Schizosaccharomyces pombe: one gene and its partner. The protein of the gene in region 1 interacts with the protein of each later gene in a biochemical or structural test. Each region holds a gene or a part of one and is shown on either strand. Other genes may lie near its edges.

Evidence for each region.
Region 2: the proteins of tgp1 (region 1) and pho7 are reported together in a solved structure, tested with the Schizosaccharomyces pombe proteins (one study listed by BioGRID).

The regions. Positions count from the first base shown.
Region 1 is NC_003423.3:349,721-354,636, forward strand, and holds tgp1 (plasma membrane glycerophosphodiester transmembrane transporter), read right to left. Parts: upstream 2,692-4,916; 5' UTR 2,650-2,691; coding exon 1,063-2,649; 3' UTR 590-1,062; downstream 1-589. Other genes in the region: SPOM_SPBC1271.10C (transporter), read left to right, coding at 1-339.
Region 2 is NC_003423.3:1,344,434-1,350,024, forward strand, and holds pho7 (transcription factor Pho1), read right to left. Parts: upstream 3,542-5,591; 5' UTR 3,033-3,541; coding exon 816-3,032; 3' UTR 679-815; downstream 1-678. Other genes in the region: protein Cbp4, read left to right, coding at 3,947-3,983, 4,071-4,189, 4,368-4,430.

The DNA of each region.
Region 1 (4,916 bases):
GCCGGTGATATCTCTATGGCCTACCTGATGGATGCGTATCCTGGAATGGTATTGGAGGCAATGGTAGGTGTTTCTGTGATTAATAACACTTTTGGGTATGTATTTACGTTTGCCTGTCAAAGTTGGATCGATAGCCTTGGTACGGAGCGTACTTATATTTCAATCGGTGTATTGTGTTTCATTTTTATCGCCACCTCATTCCCAATGATTCTTTGCGGTAAAAGACTTCGCAAGTGGACCGCTAAGCAGTATTATACATTTTTAAACGTTCGTAATCGTTTAGACGAAAAAATTCCCGACCAAGATCGAAGAGGTCAGGATGGGGTTGAAAGTCGATAAGCTGGATTTCATTATAAGTTGTCGCTCTTTTGGGTCAATCCTTTATGTTCATCATGTCTATGTGTTTATTAGTCTAACAAAAGTGAGTTAAGTTATAGTGAAAAAAGTTTTTATTTTTTTATTCATAACAACAAGTAAGTAGGGATAATCACCACTTACAAGCGCTTTATATATAAAATTGAGCAACCATATGGGTTAGAATTATCAAGAAAAAATTAAGACTCTTAAAGTCCGTTAACGCCATAATGCAGATATTATAATTTTTTCAATTATTTAACAGTAAACACATTAAGCAACTAATATTCATGATTGGATGGATAAATCAGTACTATAACAGAGTAAGTAGTACTTAACAATTACGAAAAAAGATGAAGACGAAAAGGTAGCAAAAGATCAGTTGTCCTACCATATGTCTAATAGCCCTGACTTCCACTGAATATAAAAACACGGGCAAAATCAGCCGTCAATCATTATCAAACAAGGTATTTTGTAAAGTCAAAGTCAGATCAAACATTTGCAAATGAAGTTTGACTTTTAAATTTTTTAGATTTTTTGAAACACAACAAGGCAAAAGACTAGGTAGGCTTCCCGCATGATTTGTATTTAATAAGGGTACAATAAAAAAGAAAAGATTAGCATAAAATGATATGATGAAAAGAAAAGGTCGCACTCAGGAAAGGGCTAAGAAATTATTAATAAGCTTGATATACTCAATGCTGCGAATTACTTGAAAGCAGGAGGGCGGTCGGGTTCTTCCAGCTGCTCTGGCTCGTTTTTCTCGTAATTGTAAGGATTTCCATAACCAGCATCGATACAGGCTTGAATAAATCTCTTATCCTCATCCTCAATGCATGTCTGCTTAAGTTTTGGAACGAAGAGAAGGGCTAAAACAGCAACAAAGATAGCCATCGCACTTGCAGCATAAAAATAGTTGCGCACTTGATCACCACCAAAAGCGTAAACACCTGCAATAGCACCACACTTGCCAATAGCCGCAGCAATACCGTAGTAAACACCACGAATGGCAGTAGGAGAGGTTTTGGAAGCAAGCAAACCAATGTTGCCACCGGGACCGAATTCACCCAACGTTAAAAAAATACCGTAAATGACACAGAATCCGGCAATCTTGTGGACCAACTGGTTATAGAATCCGGACATGAAAAAGCCGAAAATGGATTGTAAGACAAGACCGGTGATCAAACAATATTTAGGACCAAGTAAATCAGAGAAAACACCTCCAAGTAAGGCACCAGGAAGGTAGAAGGTATTGATTAGAACATTCCAACCGAATGATCTAGCGGTAGAAGCATCGGCGGGTAAAACACCATCGACAATGGTACTGGAATACAAGCCAAATGCAAAGGCAGAGAGATCGTAGACAAACCAAATGAGGCAAAGAATGAACAAGCGGAAACCATACATTTTCAATACAAGTAGCCAAGGGATTTTAGTGAGGGGAACTTTATGTTTGACATAGGTTTTGGGATCCTTCATGGCAATACGGAAAGGGAGAAGAACGCAAGGAATCACAAGACCCAAGCCAATAGAGAGACGCCAGACAATACGCAGATGGTGTTCGCCAAAGATACAAACTAAAATATAGGGGACAAGAGCACCAACGACAAAACCAAAATCAATGGCACCGTCCGTAACAACGATAAAGGCAGCATGGCGCAAACCCGATTTCAGTTCGTTGGAAGACTCTGAAGCAGCCACGGAGCCACAAGGATACTCAGCACCAATTCCAATACCCAAGAAAAATCGATAAGCAATAAGGGCAGAAAGCATGCCATTGATACTGCCCTTGTAGCCGTAAGCACCCGTACACAGGGCTGTAGACACAATCAAAATAATTGTAGCGGTAATCATGCCATTCTTACGACCAAAGCGATCCGAATACCAACCAAATGACAATTGTCCGACAATGGTGCCGACATAAGCAATCATACCAATGTCCTGCAACGACTTATTGTGAGTGGTTTCCTCTGGGTAGAGTTTACGAAGGATAGTAATCACTGTACCGATTGAATTGGAGCAGTAACCATCAGACATCAAAGCAACACCGGCGACAGCAACGTTTAAGAAATGCTTCCATTGACTAGTTTCCCGTGAGCCACCCTCGATGTCGAACTCGGCTTCTTTTTCTGTTACATGAGCGCCTGAGGACTTGTCGTCCAACTTCTCTTCATCACTGCGATATCGAGTTACGGAAGCTTCAATTGGCTCTTCAACACTAGGTTCGCTAACCTGTCTAACTACTTCATCTTCGCCGTTGTCGACATATTTTGATTCATCCCAGCCACCAGACATTTTACGACCAGTTTTGAAGACTTTTATTTTTTTTTTCACACTGAAATTTCTAGCTGGCAAGCCTGCCACCTTAAATACCTACACGGTAAATGTCAAGTCTGCTAATGAACAATGCAAAAATTTCCTCCTTTCTCAAACACACTCGCTACAGATAGATTTACTGCCGACTTACAAGTCTCGAATAACACAACCAATGACGCTTTCACACTTTGACTTACTGATTTGAATGTCCGAAGGAAAAAGCGATTTATTCGTAAGTTCATTTTAGCAGGCCCCTGTCTTAATTTTAACACAGTTACTTGAGTCTATCACCACCACATTGCTCATGAATACTGTAAAAGTGACATCTTTGAGTTGGCATTTGCCGATGCATCCCTTGTCGCATTTTCTCTCTTGAGACCCAGGCTGGTATTACGATTTGGCAACCTCATCCTGTGGGACAAAAGTTAACGAAACCTTGATAATGACCACATGCCGTTTAACCCAAGGAATTCTCTTCCCGTGTAGGGATAATTGGTTTGTCAGACAAATGTCCTACACATGAGGCAACCATGCCGTATCAGCAAAGCAAAAAATGAAGTAATAGAATTGGTTGAAGTAGATTATAGTATTTCTAAGATTAACCACCATTAAATCACTCACAATTCGTTCAATTGTATGCAAACCAAGGCCCAGGCTGTACAATCATCCTGACCAGATAAACTGTCACATTTCATCGTCATTCGTGTGAAAGATAAAACATGACAGTCACGGAGTCGATATTTTGTGTAGTTGAGGGTGACAAACAACGGACGGCAAAGGAAAAGAAAAAAAAATAAAAATAAAAACGTTTTATTCTTGGAAGCAGTTTAAATTGAGTGAGTGCAAAAAATTCATTAGTGCAAAACGTACCATAGATGCAAAAACGATCTAGTAAAGTGCAAAACAATATAGTGAAATGCAAATAAAGATATAGTCAATGCAAAAAATGATTAGACCATGCAAAACGTTGAAATGCATGCCCGAGTTTAGTTTCGTTTGAGATAGTTTTAAGGGGGTTGTTTGAATATGCAGACAAAACGACTCGTTCTGCCAACATCAAGGATGAGTGAATTCATAATATTCACTCTCCCTTGGGTTCATTTGATTAAATTTGATATGACACTTTCATCTTTCACATCACACAGTCAGTATGTGAGTGCAGCATTTAAAAAAATTTCACTTCGTAAAACTATGATAAAGTCGACAATCCGAGCATTCTATGCGTATTTCGTTAAACAATAGAAGCAACAAGATTGGTATGCATAGTCAGTCTAGTCAATTCAATTCAATTCATTCGAATAAACTATAGGAACGAAATGAATATCATAAACAGAGATTTTGTGTAACAATGTATATTAAAGAGATAAACACATTAAACTTTTAATCTAAAACACAACACAAAATAGAGGGCATCCTCGACAATGCCTTGCTTCAACAAACCCTCATCACACAAACACATACAACTCCCATCCATCAATAGATGCACACGATTCACAAATCAATGTATGTATATCCATGCGATCCATTGCATCAAGGAGGAATGATGGAATGCATGAATGAATGAATGGAAGGATGAAAAAATAAGGAATTGAAGAAAGGAATTACTCATTAAAATTAAAACAATGAAAAAAAAATGATTTAATTCTTGTTGCTTACTATATTCATTTTGTTTTTGATTAGATTTGTATGTTAATGATTTTTGAATAAAAATGTTGTTAGCCAACTTTTCATTTTAACCATGCACACATGCACACAATGCTATTGCCTTTGGCGACTGACCTCAAACCAAACAGCAAAGCAAAAATTGCCCAAGAGAAAAATAGAATAAAATTTAAAAAGTTTCCATATTTGGATATGGGTACCCTGTATATATATGTATGGCGACTCCTCAGACCAATTTTGTGACTGTTTCTTTTGAGTCACAATTTTGACTGAAAGGGAGTAAAGCACGCAAACATGACATTCCTCAGCTCAGACGGAATGTGGCCCGATGTAAAGTAAAGAGGGTTCAGGGATTGCACGTTACCAATATTGTTTCGATACAGACGTGTGGATTGCAAGTCTCAGGACGCCGCTCAAGCCGAGTATGACATTAGTGACATTTAAAAAAAATGTAGCAAATTTGACATTGATTGCGTATAGAAGAGGAAAATGTCAGTGTTGCGAAATTGCAATGTAAACAAGAAAACTTTAAAGCACTCAGCGTTTCCACGAGATGATTTAGGTGGGAAAGAAATTTGAACCAG
Region 2 (5,591 bases), 990 kb from region 1:
ATGATATACTTGATTTATTAGAAAATAGAGTAACAGATATTATTATTGAATAATAAAATGAATCTTGAAATATTGTGTCAATTTAATGTTTGCACCCCTTTCTATGAACAAGTAAATTAAAACAGCATATGAGACAAATTAATTATATATGCGATCGTGTTTATCACATTCACAACGAATGAATGCAAGTGTAATGTCAAGCCATTATACCAGGATATCCAAACTGGTATAAATTAATAAGATTAATAATGACAAAAATCTCTTTACAAACTCTAAAACGGAAAAAGAAGCAAATGAAAGTTGAATGCACAATAGGCTAAATAACAAAACGTTTATAACAATAGCAGTAAAAATAAGAAAACGACACACTTAAATGGTACAAATACTTAGAAAATCACATATAGTAACTTCTTTCGTCATCTGTACGATCACATTTATCCCAAAACGACTTTCTTTCCCAAAATATACCCAAAAATAAATATAAATAGACACAAAGAAAACGAAAGATAAAACATTCTTAATCAATGTAAGCAGAATACAAGACAAAAAGGGCATCCATAGTATATCAAAATTACTAGACCGATATTAGAAAGATAGGTCCAGATGGCAATTTGGCAAAGAGAGAGAGAAGAGTAAAAAAAAAGTAATAAATGGGAGTAAAAAATCATTTTCCTTTTTTTTTCACATTGTCTTACGTTTGATCATAAGATGATCTGTCGTCTGACAATATTCATAGTGTAGGTCAATCTACTGAGAAACACTCAAATGCAAAAACAAAATAAGAAACGAGAAAAACAAAGGTAATATGCGCAAAATTATTGTCTAAAGGGATGATTCTTGAATGAATCGGCTTGGTTTTGATGGAAGTTAGGATAGGTTCCATGATCGACTAGCTCATGAACGTTAAAGTCGGGTCTAATGTCTCGTGTAGGTATATCATGAAATAAAAGCATGGATGTGTACGCTAGCTCCTCCGCATGGGTATCAGGAAGCATATTCACATGATCACCATCATGTTGTTCAAGCCCGCCATCCTGTTGTCCATGTATTCCTCTTAATGAATGGATACATGGTCTTTCTACCACATGCTGTGACGAATCAGTAGCTATTGAAAACGAGTGTATTCTCCCACGCCAAGAAGGTTGATGATCCGGTACATCTTCTTCCTCATCATCAGCAGCTTGGGATTGATAATAATAAGGAACTTGAGACTTGACGGGATTTGGGGCAGCAGGAAACTCCGAATTATGAACGTCTGGATAAAAATGGTGCATTGTTTCCATATTCTTAACAGTACCATGTTGATTTTGTCCAGGCATAGCCGTTTGGTCTATGTGACGGTCAAAAAAGCTAGAATCGTGATGGTTCATTTTTAAATCGGGAACCTCAAAATGGCTCTGCATGGACAAATTTTCGTGGTCATTCGTTTCTAACATCCAATTGTTCACATTCTCAGCGGCAATTGAGCTTTCGTTATACGTCGGTTGATTATGCATTGCATTACCGAGTTCCGTATGAGATAATAAGCCATGGACTTGTTCAGAAGGTAAACCATGGATCTGATGAATTAGCAAAGAAGGATTAGCTACAGAGTGTTGCGCATATTCTCTTAGAAAATGCTCCTCGGTCATACCAACTGGATTAGTAAAACTTCGGTTTCGAGATTTTCGATTAAAAGGCTTTGAACCAGCTGAGGAAGTTCCAGTTTCGTCCATGTTAGATACCGCCACACCATCCATTGATGTTGAATTGAAATGATCATGATGGACAGCAAAAGGAGGAGTGACATTAGGTTGAAAGTTCTTTGAAGCAGATGAAACAAGTATCTGGGGTTGAAGATTTAGTTCTTGTTTAATAGCTGAGGAAGGATACTGGGCCATTCCGTTTTCATCCATCTGTCTGGAAGACATGGCAAACTGATTGTCACTTGAAGGATCCAACATTTTAGAACTGAGAGAATCTTGCGTGGAATGACCAGAAGATGCAGTAGTTGACTTGGTGTTGTTCGAAGTATCACTCAATTTTTTATAAGGGCCTCTTCTAACTCCCGTTGGCCGTTTCTTCCTGGGTAAATCAATGCAATCAGTTTTGGCTTTAATACAACGCTGACAAGGACGAGCGTCATCACATTTTTTGTTGTCTTTTTGACACTTTGCGCAAGCTCTCTTGGCCTGAGGAAGTCTTTTCTTAACTTTACCGGTAGTAGCTTTAGGCTTTTTTATAATTTTATTCACAGTGGAAAGAGGAGGAGTCGTGTTGTTGGAAACGTTTAAACTACGATTAGGAGATGGACTCCCGGCGGATCCAAAAGGTGGCATAGAGGTTTTAGGAGGATCGGGTGCTGAACAAACGCGCTGCAAAGGAGCACCATCCTGATGATGAGCTTGCGCATTTGAATATGCAGTGCCCTCTGGACCATATTGAGAATAGGGAGACAAGTTGTATGGATTTATGTCTGCCTTCACTCCAGCACCTTGTAACTGAAAATAAGCATCTTCAGGACGATAGGGAGAGTTGTTTAAGGGAATCGGAATATTAGATAATGCAGGAGGATTTGAGTAAAAAGTAGGAGAGTTGTTTGAATTAGGGTTAACAGATGCAACCACCCCAGGTGAAAAACTATCAGACGATGGAGAACGATGGTAGTATGGAATTTCGGTATTTTGGAAATGGACGTCTTGAGACTGTTGCATAGAAACAGATCTTGGATAGTATTCACTCATGCCACCGGAGGAAAACCCAGATGCATCCAAGCCAATGTTTCCCACAAACGGAGCATCATTTGGATTTGGGTTTTGCACTGAAAAAGCAGAGGGAGAAGAGATATGAGAGGTGGAAGATGTGGAGGGATGTACAGAGGCAGAATGAGTACCTTCTACTGGGCGGGTAAGCAATTGTTGCATATGATGATTGATGAATTGATATTCTGCATCGTAATCGGGTAATCCATAAGGGAAAGGAACGGAGGACCGCTTGTAATGTGGATCAAGCTCCTCATTCTTAGAAGCAGACTGAACGACTTTCTTCTGCATACAAACGAAAAAGACAAAAGAAATATGATAAAAGTAAAGCCTTAAACAAATGCTCCTTCGTCTTAAGAAAATTTAGGTTACAAAAAGGCAATACAAAAGAATTGGAGACAATGAAAAGTACCAAAATCCCTAAATCAATGGCTCCTTCACTTTCGTCGCTTTTTGTGAATCAGTATGGAGATATGGGCTATATATGGAAGAAGAATAAATGCGTTTGGAATACTAAGATCGTTGTGTAAGAATAAGAAAGAAAACAATCACGCGTAAAAATATCCTTTATGATCAACAACTTGGTACTTTTCTTTTGAAAAAAACCGCAGTTGAGCAACACTTTTTCAAATCAAAGGTGCTGATATGACACGAACGCGGGGGGTAACAATGATAAATTTTTAGCTCAATCTCGTCAAAGCAGTATAACTGTTTACAGATTTAATATCACTTGTAAACACTTGAACGATGAATTCCTGACAAAGATGAGAGATTTTCTTTTATCGTGTTAGGGCGAAGTCGACAGATCTGATTAGCGGTGGCAGCAGTAATAAATTAGCATGTACAGGGTGGTGGGGCATAGCGCAGTAATCGCCTTTAACACTTTACCTTAAAAAACCTTATATTTAAGCTACCACCGCATTGCGGGGAGATACCTTTTTCGACAATCTTAGCGAAACAGCGCTCTGTTCTGTTAAAATAATAAAGATCAATAACGGAATACAGCGTATTTCACAAGGCCTTGCAAACCGGCCAACCATCCATGGAACGTCTATATAGCACGTATAGGGTGCCTTACATAACATCTGTGTCTGCAATAGCATTGCTGTCAAGAGCCTATACTTACTGTTATTTTTTCTCTGTATTACAACCTTTATTATTGTTTGCTTTTTGCAGACTCCATTTTGAATTGTTGTACCTAAAGCATGAATCGTGTGGTTAAAAGTATCGTATACGGTGTTGGTATGGACATTTTGAGATAGGATCGATTTAGTTGAAAAGATTCTATCCCGAACTTAAGATTGTGTTACTTACCAGTATATAAAATAGGAATCGTTGGATTTGGCTATATGACAATGAAATTAACAACTCCATCTCCCGAACGAGTTGTCAATTCACTTCCACCGGATCTTCGAGCTTCTTATGAAATGAACAAAAAAGATCGATCAGTAAGTATACATAGCGAATCTTTTTTAAAACTGTTTGCTCCAGGTTCTGAAGTGGGTTTGGGGGTGCCACAAAAGAGAGAATATTAAGTCTTCCTTAATATTTCCCTTTACCTTCTTCAAACGTGGTGTTTGCTTTCAATGGTTTTTGTTCGTATTCTATGAAACTGACTTTGAGTAGCAAGCCGAAGGTGTTTTACGAATGATTGAAGACGCAAAACGAAATCCTAAAAACCTTGTTTAAGCGAGTATTCTTACTCAATTCATTTTAATTTTATCATCTCAATGTTTCGATCTTCCTCTCTCAAATATATATCTAAAAGTTACTTTCCTAGGACTTACAAAAAAACGAGCGTTTCCCATTGATGGGTCATTTTCAATTTTCTTGTTTCTTCATCGTGCTACTATTGATGATTTCTGATTTTTTTTTTTTTTTCACTTAATCTATCGCGTATTCGTATAAAACCTTACAAAACAAAAAAACGTAACTTGTGCTTATTTGAAAATTAATGATTCATTTGATTATGGATATGAACGATAATGAATGACTATTATCAGACCGTTGTATTTTCAACAGTGTATATATTACTTTTGCCTGATTTGACTCATATCAAGCCCACTATCAATAAAAATGGAAGACTTGTAAGCATCCAGCAACTTCAGCTCTTTTGAAAGCGAAATAAGTCTTTAGTTTCCTCACTTTAAATTTTGGTACTTCTTTCTCAAAATACACGAGAATACATCCAATAGGTAAACACCCCATTTCCACGTATTTGTAACAAAAAACACATTTTCATTTTGAAATCGTCAACGAAACTTTTAATGAAATACCTCGCCCATTCTGGTATTTTGAGAGGCTTATTTCCCAAAAGTATTGATTGTTTACTTGCTAATATACTCATATGAAACGTTTGAAAAAATGATTTGACGAAAACGATAAGTAATATAGATATATTCTTAAATCTACAAAGAGAATGATGATTGAATACTCAGCTGGTGTCTTTCATGAGGAAGCGTGTTGTACAGTTTGTTGTCTTGAAGACAGCTGTTTGCTTCACCATTATGAAATACTAACGCACGATTCTTCAATGGAAAAAAATGCTTGAAAAACTCTTTATGTATTTGATAATGTAAAAGCCCTTGCTAAATTCTTTATGTTAATGGAGGCGACAAAACCATTGGCGTATGTACCATGTATTTCGGTAGTAGCATTTTTTGCTACTGCTTAACATCAAGTATTCGATAAACACTTGAACATTAGGGATATTACTGAATTTTTGTATTTAAAAATTGTTATATCATATGAACTAGTACTAGTATTGTATGCTGAATAAACTAATTGAGCGAGTTCGCTTAGGAATTTAAAGTACTTGATATGACGACTTATGAAGCAGATCAATTTTAG